4 linked regions of the Tribolium castaneum genome follow. The protein of the gene in region 1 binds, or shares a complex with, the protein of each later gene. Links are inferred from orthologs where the notes say so. Each region holds a gene or a part of one and is shown in the gene's direction. Other genes may lie near its edges.

Region 1 (3,058 bases):
AAACTATAGTTAAACTTCGTCGTTGCACTTGTAAGTATAGTTGTCTTTTTAAAATAATAAAAACGCATCAAATCAAGTTTCCACCACATGAAGTACTTTGATTTGTATTAATAGGACAACCAAGAGAACAACTTGTGTTCCATATTCTCTAATAACGTTAGTGAGGCTTCATATTATGTCAGACTTCAGCAGAGGCTTAAAAATTGTCTATAGTTTAGTCTAAAATTAAAAAAAATCTTTTTCTTATTTATTCATTGTTGTAAGGTAATAAGCTTCCACAACTTTTTCAAAGTTATAATTTTTGTCTTAATGTAAGAAAACGTGAAAATTCAACCACTGAGTTGGTCATGTTGGTCCATTGTTATTTTTGGAATAATTTTACTTGGCGGATACCAAAATTATTGTTTAAATCGTTTTGTTCAAATTTAGGATTTCTTGTTTTTGATAGTGTTTCATTATGTCCTTGGTTTCAGTACAAAAAGCCACGTACTTAACACCATCATACCCAGTTAATTCAAAAATTATATGAAAATAACGTTCTATGTGGGTGCAAATGTTTTTTTTGACAAAGTTTAATTGTCAGTCTAAAATGTCAATTGAAAATTTCAATTTTCACGGATTGTGATTGCTCACATTTTTTCTCGGTTTTGTTTTAGTTTGTATTTTTCTCAGCAGATAGAGCTAGCTAAGGAGAAAATTTTTAGGTTAGGAGAAATATCTTAAAAATACTATTTTTTATCAAAAGTATTTAAAAATATCAAACTGTATTTATATTGTTCTCAGTTCTGAAAAAATAAGCTTTTCGAAAATGTCATAGCCAAGTATGATTTCAATTTACAAAAATACAACTTTATGTTATTAATGTTATTACAGCCAAACGAATAATTAAAAAAAACACTGATAACGTTATTAAATTCTCTATAAAAAAGTGCTTTATAATGTTTTGTTTCAGTCGTGTAGCTTTTAGAAGGGAAGATATGAATTTTTTAAGATTTCGCTAAAATGTCAACTTTTGTTTATAAGTCGAAAACAAAAGACGAGAGCGGGATGCGGTTTTGACCAAAATTATTTACTCGAAAAACGAAAATGTGTCACTCGTTTTTCTCGAAACCTCTTATTTTCAAAGATCTTCCTTTTCTTACATCCAAAAACGCAGCACCTGTACAAAGATCTGAAAATTATTATTGCGTTAGAATTTGGCTTAAAATATTACTATAATATTTTTTGCAATGTATGTCTGAAGTCTTTTTAATAGGATGGCCTTTATATCAAAAATCAAAAATTTTCTATAGCTTCCTAATCCCTAGACAAACCATTTGTTAATCCTGTATTTGAACAGAATTTCAACATAAAAACAGCTTTATGGTTATACAGGTGTCTCAAAATTGGCGAATTTGGCATTAATTTGTTTCGCTTAAATCAGTTATTTTTTTGATTTTCCATTTAAAAAACGATACAAAATGTTCATAAATATTTTTAACTCGGTTTAAAGTAAATACATAAATACGAAATACAGGCCAAAATATCTATTCTTCCATTTGCTTCGTTTGAAAAAAATATTTTAAGATTTCTTGCTTAAAAACGAGCTAAACCGTCACTTGCATCATTTATCAGTTGACCCGAAAAAGAAGAAGCGGGACACAGATGTGGAAGCATTTGAAGATTCGGATGATGGAGATGGCGAGGGCCGAGAATTGGATTACATTAGTGATAGTTCAGAGAGTGAACCTGAAAACACGAATCTGGAGAGCGTGGCTGAAGAAAAAGCCTTGCGAAAACTACTAACATCAGATGAAGATTCGGAAAACGATTCAGACAAATCCGAGAAGGAACAAAGCAATGAAGATGAAGAAAACAAAGAGAAAGAAAGCGAGAAAACCGAGGAGGGCGCTGACAAGGACAAGAAGAAGAAGAACAAAAAGAAGAACAAGAAAGAGATTAAAAAGGAGGTGAAGAAAGAGAAAGAGTCAAACAGTGATTTTAGTTCCGATAGCAGCACAGACGAAGAGACCAAAAAGAAGAAGAATGATAAGAAAATGAAAAAAGAAGAGAGGGAAGCAAATAGTGCCAATAGTTCAAGGTCTGCAACGCCAACTGATCACAAGCGGAAGTTAGTAAATGATGTAATGGCAGGACCGTCTGCTAAAAAACAGAAGTTAGATTTACCGAATTATATTGTTGGGTCGAGGTAAGTTTTTTGAATTTGATTGAAGAAAGTGTTAAGTTTGGTTTTAGTGAGTCTGGAATTACCGAAGATGCTGTTAGAAAATATCTAATGAGGAAGCCGATGACAACCACTGAGCTTTTGCAGAAATTCAAATCGAAAAAGACGGGACTTTCGAGCGAACAGCTTGTCAATATTATGACACAAATATTGAAGAAAATTAATCCCGTGAAACAAACATTGAAAGGGAAGATGTATCTGTCGATAAAGTCTTGATTGAATCAATAATGTTGCTGTAAAAATTTTCTATCTATAAGGAGTTAAAGGAGTATGATATTTATGTATAATGGGAGTTGTAATTACATATTAATTAATAAAAATTTATTTACAGCAATTATTGTTTTCTTAATTACTGTCTATAATTAAAATAACGCCTCAAAGTTTGATTTTAAAATGATATTTGTTCTAAAGTTGTCCATAAAGAGAACGAAGAAGTCGATAAAGCTATACTTTTCTTGACTAATGTCATTAAAATCGTCCGTAAAGTGATTGAAATAGTCAACAAAGTGTGGCCGCGTGTATTGTTAGTTGCATAGTGTTTTAACCTTTTGTATGAGAAGTAAAATATATCTAATTAAATTATTGAAGTTTATTTTATAGTATTAGAAATACATTGCCAGAAATAAAAAATACAAATATTTTGTATAGAAGGTTTTTTGTTGCAAAATTTTTTGAAAAATTGTCATAAGCGACGTTGAAGTGATTTATCAAATATTGGTCTTTTTTATAACAAAAAGTTGAATAATATTTAAATATAACGTATTACACAAATACACATAAATAAGCTTTTCAAAATATCACGGTTACCTATGATTCCTATTTTAAAAAATACAA
Region 2 (3,384 bases), on another chromosome or scaffold:
ATGTGCCTTTACAACCCTCTAGGGTTGTTAAAAGTTCAAAAAAAATCCTTATGTTCGATTTTTTAATATTTGATTTTTTCAATTTTCGTCGCAGTTTTTGTCGGTTTTGGGTACCCGGAACATTTCTCGAGCAATAGCTCCGGAACTATTAGAGATAACCCCATGAAGTGTATTATCGTTGGAAAGCTCTTTTAATTGTCTATCTTTTTCAAAAAAGATCTTTGCTCTCCGACTAATAGTTTTCGAGAAAATTGCAGATAAATGCAAAAATTGGTAAAATTTTAAAAAATTCGTAACCAAAAAACTAGTGGGAATTTGGCAATTTTCTCGACGCCAATCGATTCCCTGGATCATTTTGCATAGGTAAAGATCAAAACAGTTCCCCTTTTTCGAATAGTTTAGTCGTAATTGAGAATATAATAAAAATTAAAAATAAATTAAGACCTCCCTCCCCTCCAAAATGGCCATTTTTAAAAGTGTCTCAGAATCAAATAACACTTATCCTTTCTTATAGATTTTGATGTGCTCTTTACGATGGAAAAAAGAGTTTTTTCCTAGCTCTTTTAGTTTGGCCGTAATCGGCGATTGAAAATTATAAAACTTTTTGCGAGATATCGCTTTGAGTCCTATGCCATTTTGTAGAGTTTTTATTGCGCTTTTCTACAATTCTTCCGTTTTTAGATAACTCTAATAATTTCGCCGTAATCGGCAGTTGAAAATGGAAAAAAAGCGAAGATGGAAACTTTATTTGCGTTTTTCTCGGAAACTCTAAGACTTAGAGAATCAAACTAAAAAAACGGATGGCGCTTAAAATTATCTATTTTTTCGTCCAAACCCGGAGCTGCTCCGGGCAACGGTTCCGGTTACAGAGGCAATTAAAGTTTTACACTAAAAAAAATCATAACCCAAAAAGTAAAAGTCGTTGGGCAATGCGGTTTGTTTCATTTTCTTTGTTATACCAGCTTTTTTTACGAGATTAAAAATTTTGATTTTTTTTGCTAAATTCTGCTATATCGTAAATTAACTTAATTTTTGTATTTCGCGGTAAAATAATTCGGGCAGCCATTTTGTGCTTTAGTCAACCCACAATACACCACTTTTTTACTATTTTCTTATTGCTTAAATCTCTTTTTTGTACCCATAAAAACCCCACGACTCACTAATCACCATACGACTTTTTTGTCGTGGTAGTAATTTTTTGTGATAAGAATTGATAAAAACTCTTCATTCCGGCGCTTGCGCACTATCCCCGATCGCGTCCTGCCGTTACCCCAAAATTTTCCTCATCTCTCGCCTTCATTTTCCATCAAAATGTCGGCCATCTGATTTCCCTAACCTCAAAAGTGCATATGTGCGCGTAAAAATGCCATTATCGCCCGTTTCCACTCTCGGAAACCGTTCATAATCAGCTTAACGTAGTGTGGTGCGCCCCCAAGGCCATGTCGAACTCCCTGTGCAAGACTTCGGTGCTCCGCATCTACCAGGAGGTGATCGACGACGTGATCAGCGGCGTCCGCGAGATCTTCCTGGAGGACGGCGTCGACGAGCAGGTCCTCCAGGAGCTGAAGCAGACCTGGGAGACCAAGCTCAAGGCCAGCAAGGCGGTGCAGAGCGAGGAGGAGAAGGCGAAGAAGGCGGAGATGACCGCCACCAACGGCTTCCCCAAGCAGCATGTGGCGCAGCCGGCGGCAGCCCCCGTGGGGCAGATCGCCGAGACGAAGATGGTCCCCATCCAGATCACGCTCCCGGCGCAGCCCGGCAGCGACCAGGGCCCCAGGATACTCACGATACAGGTCCCCGCCACGGCGCTCCAGGGGAACCAGCTCCAGAAGGTGCTCACGGGGCAGATCATCACGGGGATGATGAATTTGCCCGCCAATATTGCGTCTTCGGTGCTCCAGCAGCACGTCAACGCGGTGTTTAACAGGTAGTCAGTTAGCCCCCTTTTAACTTAAATCGTCCACGCAAAATGTTTTCGGGTCACCCTGTACAAAGAAAAATACATGTTTTGTGCACACTTATGCAGATATTTTTGTCAATAATTGTTTTAAAAATTTTCTAATTATTGTTTAAAATTTTATCGGATTTTTAATAATGTTCTCTTCGGAATAAATAAAAAAGCTTGTAATAATTGTAGTTTTTTGTTATGAGATAACGTGTTTTTAACAGCCAGCAGCAGCAGATCGTGACCATTGTCAACCGAAACATCGCCCAGACGGACGGAAGCCACGCCGAGGAGGAGGAGGAGGAACAAATCGAAATCGAGTTTATTTTGCCTAGGAAGAAGGTGCCCCAGGTGGACGGCCCCGTGGACACGTCCGACGACGATGAGGACGGGTCTGACGACGATAACGACGACGAGGATATCGATGACGATAAGGACGAAGAGGATCAAGAAATGGAGGAAGAAGGTGGTGAAGAAGAGCCCCTGAACTCCGAAGACGATGTGACTGATGACGACCCAACTGATTTGTTCGATACTGATAACATCGTTGTTTGTCAGTACGATAAAATCATAAGAAATAGGAATAAGTGGAAATTTTATTTGAAAGATGGGATAATGAACTTGAGTGGACAAGATTATGTCTTCCAAAAGGCTAACGGTGATGCGGAATGGTAATTAGTGTTTTTTAAGAAGTTTTGTTTTTTTTTTATTATTTTCAAGTCACTTGCACGCAAAACCCGTCACTTATTCAAGGGAACGTTGGGTTCCGACTTAAGTTATTGAACTTTTGTATGTAAAATGGGAGAATAGCCTGAGTTGTAGAATTGTGTTATCCATTATAAATGTAACTAATAATAGGCGTTTAGATTTAATCGAAATTTTTACTATGTATTATCAATTATCGATAGCCGTTTGTGAATAAAACTATTTTTGAAGTTACACCATTGGTCGTTTTTCTAACACCTGGAAGATGACAAAAATCGCAAATTAGCAGCTCTTTTGAAAAAAAATCATAACTCAAAAACTAAAAATCGTAGAGCAATGCCTATAATGGAAAATTATATTCAACAAAAAAATTCATAATTCGAAAACTAAAAGTCGTAGAGCAGTGCGGTTCGTTCCATTGGATTCAGCGCCTTTTTTTCTCTATTATACTAATTTTTCACGCAATTTAAAATTTTCAATTTTTTTGCTCAAATTTCCTGAGTTATACACTTACTTACCTTCAAAGAGGTGAAAAAAAATTTTTTTTAAACTAACTCCAGCAAATTTTTATGGACTTCTACATGTCTTAACAACTCACAAAAGTTGTTAAAAGTCCACAAAAAGTCCAAATGTTCGATTTTTTGATGTTTGATTTTTTCAATTTTCGTCGCAGTTTTTGTCGGTTTTGGGTACCCGGAACATTTCTCGAGCAATAGCTCCGGAACTATTAGAGA
Region 3 (2,841 bases), on another chromosome or scaffold:
CACAGTGACATCCTTATACAACTCATTCTCATCAAATTTATATTTCCCAGGCGCCAGGCCAATGGCATTGCCTAAAACTTTATCAATTTGAACACAATTCTTGTTATCTGTGACAGTCTTAAACAGTGCGCTTTTTAGCAACTGCACGTTATGTAGCAAATTGCTCAATTCTTCGCAAAACTTGACGCCCCTTTGCCCAGCCTTGCATTTTTGGGTGATGTCAAACAAATAATTCCAAACATCGAAATTGTACTGCTGGTAACCCTCGGGTAGAGGCCCATGGTCGGGATTTTTTTTCAAATGTTGAATCATTTTGTTTTTGCCCAAATAAGCCTTGAAGCATTTGGGGCACTTGAACTGGGCTTTCACCACCCGCTTTCTGGTCTGTAATTGAGCAAATTCTATTTTACTGTTCTCCTTCTCCTCAACTCTCTCAAAATCCGTGACTTGTACTTCGCGATCATTAACACTGGGTTGAAATTTTTTGAAATCCTGTGAAACATCACTGATTAACTTCTAAAACACTTGAAAATTTACCTTTTCTATGTGTTTTGGGAGCTTGACTAGACGACCAGAACGAGTCCTGGAAGCTTTAGAAGCCTCGACATTGTCCGTTTTTGATTCGGTATTTGCATCAGTTTGTGGCGCTTCGTGCTTCTTCTTTTTAGGGCGTCCACGTTTTACAAGATTTGGAGCTCGCTAATTAAAAAAATAAATTCAAGGAATAAGAGATAAGTGGTTCTCACAATCAAACTCAGTTCTTGGGGGTACACAATTTTGACGACACATGGTTGTTCCTCGGGGTACATAATTTGGAAACCCAGTGGTTCTTCTTGGGGAACACTCGTGCAAGGTTCTTCAATGATTTCAAGAGGCTTATCCATGGATTCAACTAAGATGTGAGGATTACTCACGGTTTGGGCAATCTGTAGTTGACTATCAACTTGTTCTGCCAAGTGTATGGTTTCGAGGGGCTAGAATAACGTTGCAATATAATACTTTAATCTTACTAATTTATAAATAACAATTAGCACTTACCTCACTAATTTGAACTACATATGGCGTTGTGGGAATGTTATCGGTCATTATTATTGGACACTTGTTAATTTCTCACGATATTTAAACTGTTTTCGCGTTTTTTATTTTTAAATAAAAATTTGCAGAGGTTGACAAATCCTTGACACCACAAAAATTGACAGTTTTGATAGGCACAGGCAACCAGTTACACAAGACAGTGCTGTAAGTTGCCTTTTATAATAAGTTTTGAGGTTCTGTCGTGTTGTTGTCGGTGTTTGTGTTAAAAAAAGTTCAAATCCTGTCTTTTCGTAATTGAAATTTTCTAATATGCCGTACGCAAACCAGCCCTCGGTCCACATAACCGATTTAACCGACGATAATGTGAAATTCTACATTGAAGACACCGATCTGAGGTGAGCAACAATTCTTTAAGGGGGCACTAACTGGCCAATTTTTAGCGTGGCTAACAGCATCAGGCGCGTCCTAATCGCCGAAACGCCAACTTTGGCCATCGATTGGGTCAAGTTGGAGGCGAACTCAACCGTCCTAAGTGACGAATTTTTGGCCCACAGAATAGGCTTGATCCCCCTCATATCAGACGACGTGGTGCAACGTCTCCAATACCCAAGAGTTAGTCGTTTAATTTGATCTATTTCACATCTAAAATGCAATTTCCAGGACTGCATTTGCACCGATTTTTGTCATGAATGCAGTGTTGAATTCACCCTTGATGTGAAATGCACTGACGACCACACGCGGCACGTTACCACCGCAGATTTAAAATCGAGCGATCCTAGAGTTATTCCGGCCACTTCCAAACACAGGGACGATGAATCGTCAGAGTATGGCGACACTGACGAAATTCTGATCATCAAGTTGCGGAAAGGGCAAGAGTTGAAGGTTAAAGCTTACGCTAAAAAGGGGTTCGGTAAGGAACACGCCAAGTGGAACCCCACGGCGGGGGTGGCCTTCGAGTACGACCCCGATAATGCTATGAGACACACGCTTTTTCCTAAGCCAGACGAATGGCCCAAGAGCGAATACAGCGAACTGGATGAGGATCAATGTAAATATTTTACTTGTTAGTTGTTTTGTTTGACCATAATGTTCCAGACGAGGCTGATTTTAACTGGGAATTGAAACCAAACAAGTTTTATTTCAATGTGGAAGCTGCAGGAGCCCTAAAACCCGAAAATATCGTCATAATGGGGGTGGCAATGCTGAAGGATAAATTGTCCAATTTGCAGACTCAGCTTAATCATGAAGTACAGAACGATGCCCTTGCTATTTAATTATAACGTTAATAAAGCCGATAATTTTTAAATTAGTGTTTTGTTTGAACTGTCACTTTTTACAATTACTGAAACAGTCAGTTCCTTCTTTCTGTTGAAAAAATGAACGAGCACGACGACAGAATTAAGTTGGACATCTTTAGAAGCAAAACCACTTATCAGAATGACTACAAAAAATTCCCACTTGAGCCTCGTAAAGACACTTTGAATTGTCAAGCAAAATTTTTGGACAAAAAAGACAAGCCCCCGAGTGAGTATGTCCCTAAAGACAATGAAACTTTTGCGGCCCGACGCCCCGACGTCTACATCCCGTTTAACTTACTTTGGAGACGCAAAGAGATCACAGGCACGGACCCCCATGTACCTTTCGAAACCCCCGTATGTACAAAAATACAGTCAACAAAATAAAAAGATACAATTAAGGTAATTCCCGAGAATGCAGCCAAAGAAAACGTAATCAAGACAAGACCAAGGGTTTACATGTCCCCAGCTGTGAGTATCGACGACGTTTCAGACCCCGAAATGCGCAACT
Region 4 (4,258 bases), on another chromosome or scaffold:
ACTACAGTTCACGGACAAGAGGTTCCAGCCAGTTCATGATTTGACAATCGGGGTGGAGTTTGGCGCTCGAATGATCACCATTGATGGCAAACAAATCAAATTACAAATTTGGGACACTGCCGGACAGGAGGCTTTTAGATCTATAACGCGGTCGTACTATCGGGGGGCTGCTGGCGCTCTTTTAGTTTATGACATTACGAGGAGGGAGACTTTCAACCATTTGACTACATGGCTTGATGATGCCCGCCAGCATTCCAACTCAAATATGGTCATCATGTTGATTGGAAACAAAAGGTGTTCATCCCGTTTTATTTTTTTTTTTTTCAAAAGTGTTAACTAAACCCTTCCAGTGATCTAGAGAGTAGGAGAGAAGTGAAAAAGGAAGAAGGAGAAGCTTTTGCCAGAGAACACGGACTAGTCTTTATGGAAACTTCAGCAAAAACGGCCGCCAACGTTGAAGAAGCGTTTATAAACACAGCAAAAGAGATCTATGAGAAAATACAAGAGGGAGTCTTTGACATTAACAATGAGGTAAATCAGCGGTTCTGCTCTGTTAAGCTAATTGGCATTTTCTAAAGGTTACACAAACTTTAGAAATCAATAATTTTATACATTAGCAAGTTCATTACCCCATTTTTGGTGATACTTTCTTCTGACTTTGAAATTAAGTTGGCAGCTTGAGACGTCACACGTATAGTGCTGCCAACTCAAATTCACAACTATTGTGTTTTAAATTTTGTTGTTGAAATTGTGCAGGCAAATGGAATCAAGATTGGCCCCCAACATTCCCCCACAAATCCATCGCTTCCTGGTGCAGGCGGCGCCGGGGGTTCGCAGGGTTCGAGTTGCTGTTAAGATGACTTGTCTGTCTTGAGGGTTACATTATGTGTAAGAGAGAAACCCTTATTAAAGAATTGAAAGTGACTGCACAGGTTTATTACATAAATTAATGATCTGATATCTTCCAAATTAGCAAGTTGCACTTTACCCCATCGTTCAACAACCTTTAGAGACAAAACTTTTCAAATATTTTGATACATATGGTGATATTGGCCCCCACTAATTTATGTAATGAAAGGATTATTATTGTGATTATTTTAAGAGTGTGGTATAGTTAGTCCAATACAGGTCACATATTTATTGTTTTGAGTTCATATTTTATAGAGTACCAACCGAAAAGCCGTTTCAGAAGCATTACATCTTACTTTAAACCAACTTTATTTTTGTTATTGGTGATAATAGTGTTATGTGTTTTATTGCGACTATTATACTTAATTAAGAAATGTAGTGTTTATCTCATTAAATAAATTTGTATTGTAAAACGTCAAATTTTTTATGTAAGCTTCATGTAATATAATCAAATATAAGTTGTATTGCCAGTTTGTGTTTGTTTTACCCAAAATTTGAAACGGGCGCGTGAGTAATGGCACCCGGAAGTGCACGCGTCGTCCAATCAGGCCGCGTTCTGCGTTCATGAGTGAAGTCGTTTCCGTGCAAGATGGCGGAAAAAACTATGTGCATATCACAGCAACAAACAAAACCTATAAAAATTTTAAAATGGAAAGTGAGCGAAGGGAACACTGTCTCGATCGGAAGAGTAATCCTTCTGTATGATTTTGACGGGGCTTCCAAGGTGGAACAACGCAAGTTGAAGGTAACACAGGCCGGAACAATTTTTAAGATTGTGGCGCAGGAAGGCGCCATTGTCAAGCCAGGGTAAGCAACAGTTTTGAAAAGGCGCGCGAAAGCTCACGCTCGAATTTTCAGCGAGACTTTGTGCGAATTGAAAGAATGCACGCATCCGACGGTGATGAACGACATGTGCGCAGAATGCGGCACGGATTTGAGGAAAAACGACGTCAGTGTGGCGGCTTCCGTGCCCATGGTGCATGCCATACCTGACTTGAAAGTCAGCGAAGAGGTGGTTGCGTTATATAAAATGCCGCTGCGGGGGTTTGACTTGCATTGTTGCAGCTTGCACAGAAACTCGGCAAAGCGGACGTTGATCGGCTTATTAGAGACAGGAAACTTGTCCTGCTTGTGGACTTGGATCAGACCTTGATCCACACAACCAATGACCACATTCAGCCGAACATCAAGGATATCTATCGCTTTCAGTTATACGGGCCCAATTCACCTTGGTACTTCACAAGGTTGAGGCCCGGAACCCATCAGTTTTTGAACAATATTTACCCGTTTTACGAGCTGCATATTTGCACCTTTGGCGCAAGGAATTACGCACATATGATTGCTGCGGTTCTGGACAGGGACCAGAAGTTTTTCTCAAATCGTATTCTCTCGCGGGATGAGTGTTTTGACCCAACTAGCAAAAAGGCGAACTTAAAGTACGTATTTGAAAAGAAAAATCTGAAAAATCATTCCGTTATTCCTGTTTTTTGAGTCTTTCAAAATCATAAGTAAATAGTTTTTCTCTTCAAGTGTTTTTGAATCACTTTGCATATGTTCACTCTACCATATTTGAGTGTAGAAGGTCTAGCTTTCGAAAAAAAAAAGGCAAAAATGAGACCAGGATGAAAAACTTGATAAATTCGGACAAGAAAGCAAAATTAAAAGTAATTTTTGCCTTAATTACTCTCAAATCGAAGGTACTTTAAGACGAACTTGCACAATAAATAAATATATCGGATTAAAAATTTAAAACCAACTTGTTAAACTGAGAGAAGCAAGCTAAAGTAACAGTTTCGATCTAATTTTCTAGTCTTAGACTATCTTCGTGATATTTAAAACAACAATTGTGCTAAAAGTTCGCGAAAATATTTTTTTATATTTTTTGATACGCTGTGTTACATAATTTTTTATATTTAGGGCTCTATTTCCTTGCGGGGACAACATGGTGTGTATTATTGACGACAGAGAGGACGTGTGGTCGAACGCCGCAAATTTGATTCATGTCAAGCCGTACCATTTTTTTCAACACACCGGCGACATAAACGCACCCCCTGGTTTAGACAAACATGAAAATGATAACAAGGGAGTTGATTTAACAAAAATTAAAGACCAGAAAAAAGACGAACAAATCCAGAATAACGATAGTAAAGCGACAGAAAATGACAGTGAGAAAAATGGTGAAAATGTCGAGGAAAGTAAAGTTGAGAATCAGGTTTCAAATGAATCTGAGAGTACAAAAAACGAGAGTAAAGAAAATACCGAAGATAGTGAAGGAAATAATAAAGTAGATGAAAATAAAAACGGTGACGACAGTAGCGAACAAAAAATTGAAAATGTTGAATCTAAAGGTGTGAATGGTGAAGCAGTAACTAATGACGAAAAGCCTCCACCTGAAGAAAGTAAAACGCAAACGGAAGGGGACACCAAAACTGAAACCCCTCCGGAAACAAAAAACGCAATCGAAATAAACAATCATTTAGTAGAAGTTGAAGACCCCGATGACTATCTCTCCTATCTAGAAGATATACTAAAACGTATTCATCAAGCTTTCTATGACGCTTATGATAAAATGGAATCGGGAGAGGTTCCCGACTTGAAGAAGGTGATTCCCGGGGTGCGAAGTCAGGTGCTACAGGGCTACAAGCTGGTTTTTAGCGGGTTGGTGCCAACTCACATCAAATTAGAACAATCAAAAGCGTACCAAATCGCCAAGAGTTTGGGTGCTGAAGTTACGCAAGAGCTGGAGGACGACACGACACATTTGGTGGCTGTTAGGCCAGGCACTGCTAAGGTGAACGCCGGCAGAAGAAAGAAGAACTTGAAGATTGTTACACCCGATTGGCTGTGGTGTTGTGCAGAACGGTGGGAGCACGTAGACGAGAAGATTTTTGCTTTGAATAGCAAAGGCTCAAAAAACCGGCATCCACCGCCTCATTGCAGCAGTCCAGAGCATATTATAAGTTATCCAGAGCACAATACGCCCGCTATGCGAAAAAGGACACCCAGTGGAAGGTTTATGGACACGATTAATCCTCTCATGTCGTTTTCCAGCGCAGATATAGCGGATATGGATAAGGAGGTAAGGTTAAAAATTAGGTGAAAGGGGAATACGTTTATTGTGTTCCTAAACCGGACACTAGGGTACCAGCTATAGAAAAAAAGCGTTGTCCATAAAATCTTAATTAAATTTGCAGCAACCAAGACTTTTATTTAATAAAAAATCGTCAATTAAAAATAATGTAGGGCGACGAATTTGTTTTCAACCAACTTCAGTTAGGATCTTCTTTATCTGACAAACTGGTCGAAAGTCGGCAATTAGTTTTATTCAGTTTGACATTTTGTTTTATAA

The links.
Region 2: TfIIFalpha (region 1) and TfIIA-L share a complex: the UniProt entries of both Homo sapiens proteins name them as parts of the TBP-based Pol II pre-initiation complex. The link is inferred for Tribolium castaneum from reciprocal best matches to the Homo sapiens genes GTF2F1 and GTF2A1.
Region 3: TfIIFalpha (region 1) and Polr2C share a complex: the UniProt entries of both Homo sapiens proteins name them as parts of the TBP-based Pol II pre-initiation complex. The link is inferred for Tribolium castaneum from reciprocal best matches to the Homo sapiens genes GTF2F1 and POLR2C.
Region 4: the proteins of TfIIFalpha (region 1) and Fcp1 are in contact, whole or in part, in an NMR structure (PDB 1ONV), measured with the Homo sapiens proteins. The link is inferred for Tribolium castaneum from reciprocal best matches to the Homo sapiens genes GTF2F1 and CTDP1. Residues at the interface, in NP_002087.2 of Homo sapiens: Thr470, Lys471, Leu474, Gln478, Ser486, Thr489, Val490, Leu493, Ala494, Leu497, Lys498, Leu500, Asn501, Pro502, Arg504, Met511, Phe513; in NP_004706.3 of Homo sapiens: Ala946, Asp947, Met949, Ala950, Lys951, Ala952, Leu953, Glu954, Glu956, Leu957, Asp959, Leu960, Met961.

Annotation. Positions count from the first base shown.
Region 1 is NC_087400.1:9,154,647-9,157,704, forward strand, and holds the end of TfIIFalpha (general transcription factor IIF subunit 1), read left to right. Parts: intron 1-1,614; coding exon 1,615-2,188; intron 2,189-2,235; coding exon 2,236-2,440; 3' UTR 2,441-2,558; downstream 2,559-3,058. UniProt on the Homo sapiens protein: TFIIF is a general transcription initiation factor that binds to RNA polymerase II and helps to recruit it to the initiation complex in collaboration with TFIIB. It promotes transcription elongation.
Region 2 is NC_087395.1:25,201,029-25,204,412, reverse strand, and holds TfIIA-L (transcription initiation factor IIA subunit 1), read left to right. Parts: upstream 1-1,230; 5' UTR 1,231-1,439; coding exon 1,440-1,927; intron 1,928-2,169; coding exon 2,170-2,620; 3' UTR 2,621-2,884; downstream 2,885-3,384. UniProt on the Homo sapiens protein: TFIIA is a component of the transcription machinery of RNA polymerase II and plays an important role in transcriptional activation. TFIIA in a complex with TBP mediates transcriptional activity.
Region 3 is NC_087398.1:8,332,008-8,334,848, reverse strand, and holds Polr2C (DNA-directed RNA polymerase II subunit RPB3), read left to right. Parts: upstream 1-1,288; 5' UTR 1,289-1,344; coding exon 1,345-1,430; intron 1,431-1,475; coding exon 1,476-1,647; intron 1,648-1,695; coding exon 1,696-2,083; intron 2,084-2,130; coding exon 2,131-2,309; 3' UTR 2,310-2,341; downstream 2,342-2,841. Other genes in the region: uncharacterized protein LOC103314918, read right to left, coding at 1-492, 538-699, 747-974, 1,039-1,086; uncharacterized protein LOC103314913, read left to right, coding at 2,412-2,687, 2,733-2,841. UniProt on the Homo sapiens protein: Core component of RNA polymerase II (Pol II), a DNA-dependent RNA polymerase which synthesizes mRNA precursors and many functional non-coding RNAs using the four ribonucleoside triphosphates as substrates.
Region 4 is NC_087396.1:10,632,633-10,636,890, forward strand, and holds the start of Fcp1 (RNA polymerase II subunit A C-terminal domain phosphatase), read left to right. Parts: upstream 1-1,458; 5' UTR 1,459-1,498; coding exon 1,499-1,716; intron 1,717-1,767; coding exon 1,768-1,921; intron 1,922-1,974; coding exon 1,975-2,345; intron 2,346-2,826; coding exon 2,827-3,988; intron 3,989-4,258. Other genes in the region: Rab2 (ras-related protein Rab-2), read left to right, coding at 1-294, 351-531, 757-855. UniProt on the Homo sapiens protein: Processively dephosphorylates 'Ser-2' and 'Ser-5' of the heptad repeats YSPTSPS in the C-terminal domain of the largest RNA polymerase II subunit. This promotes the activity of RNA polymerase II.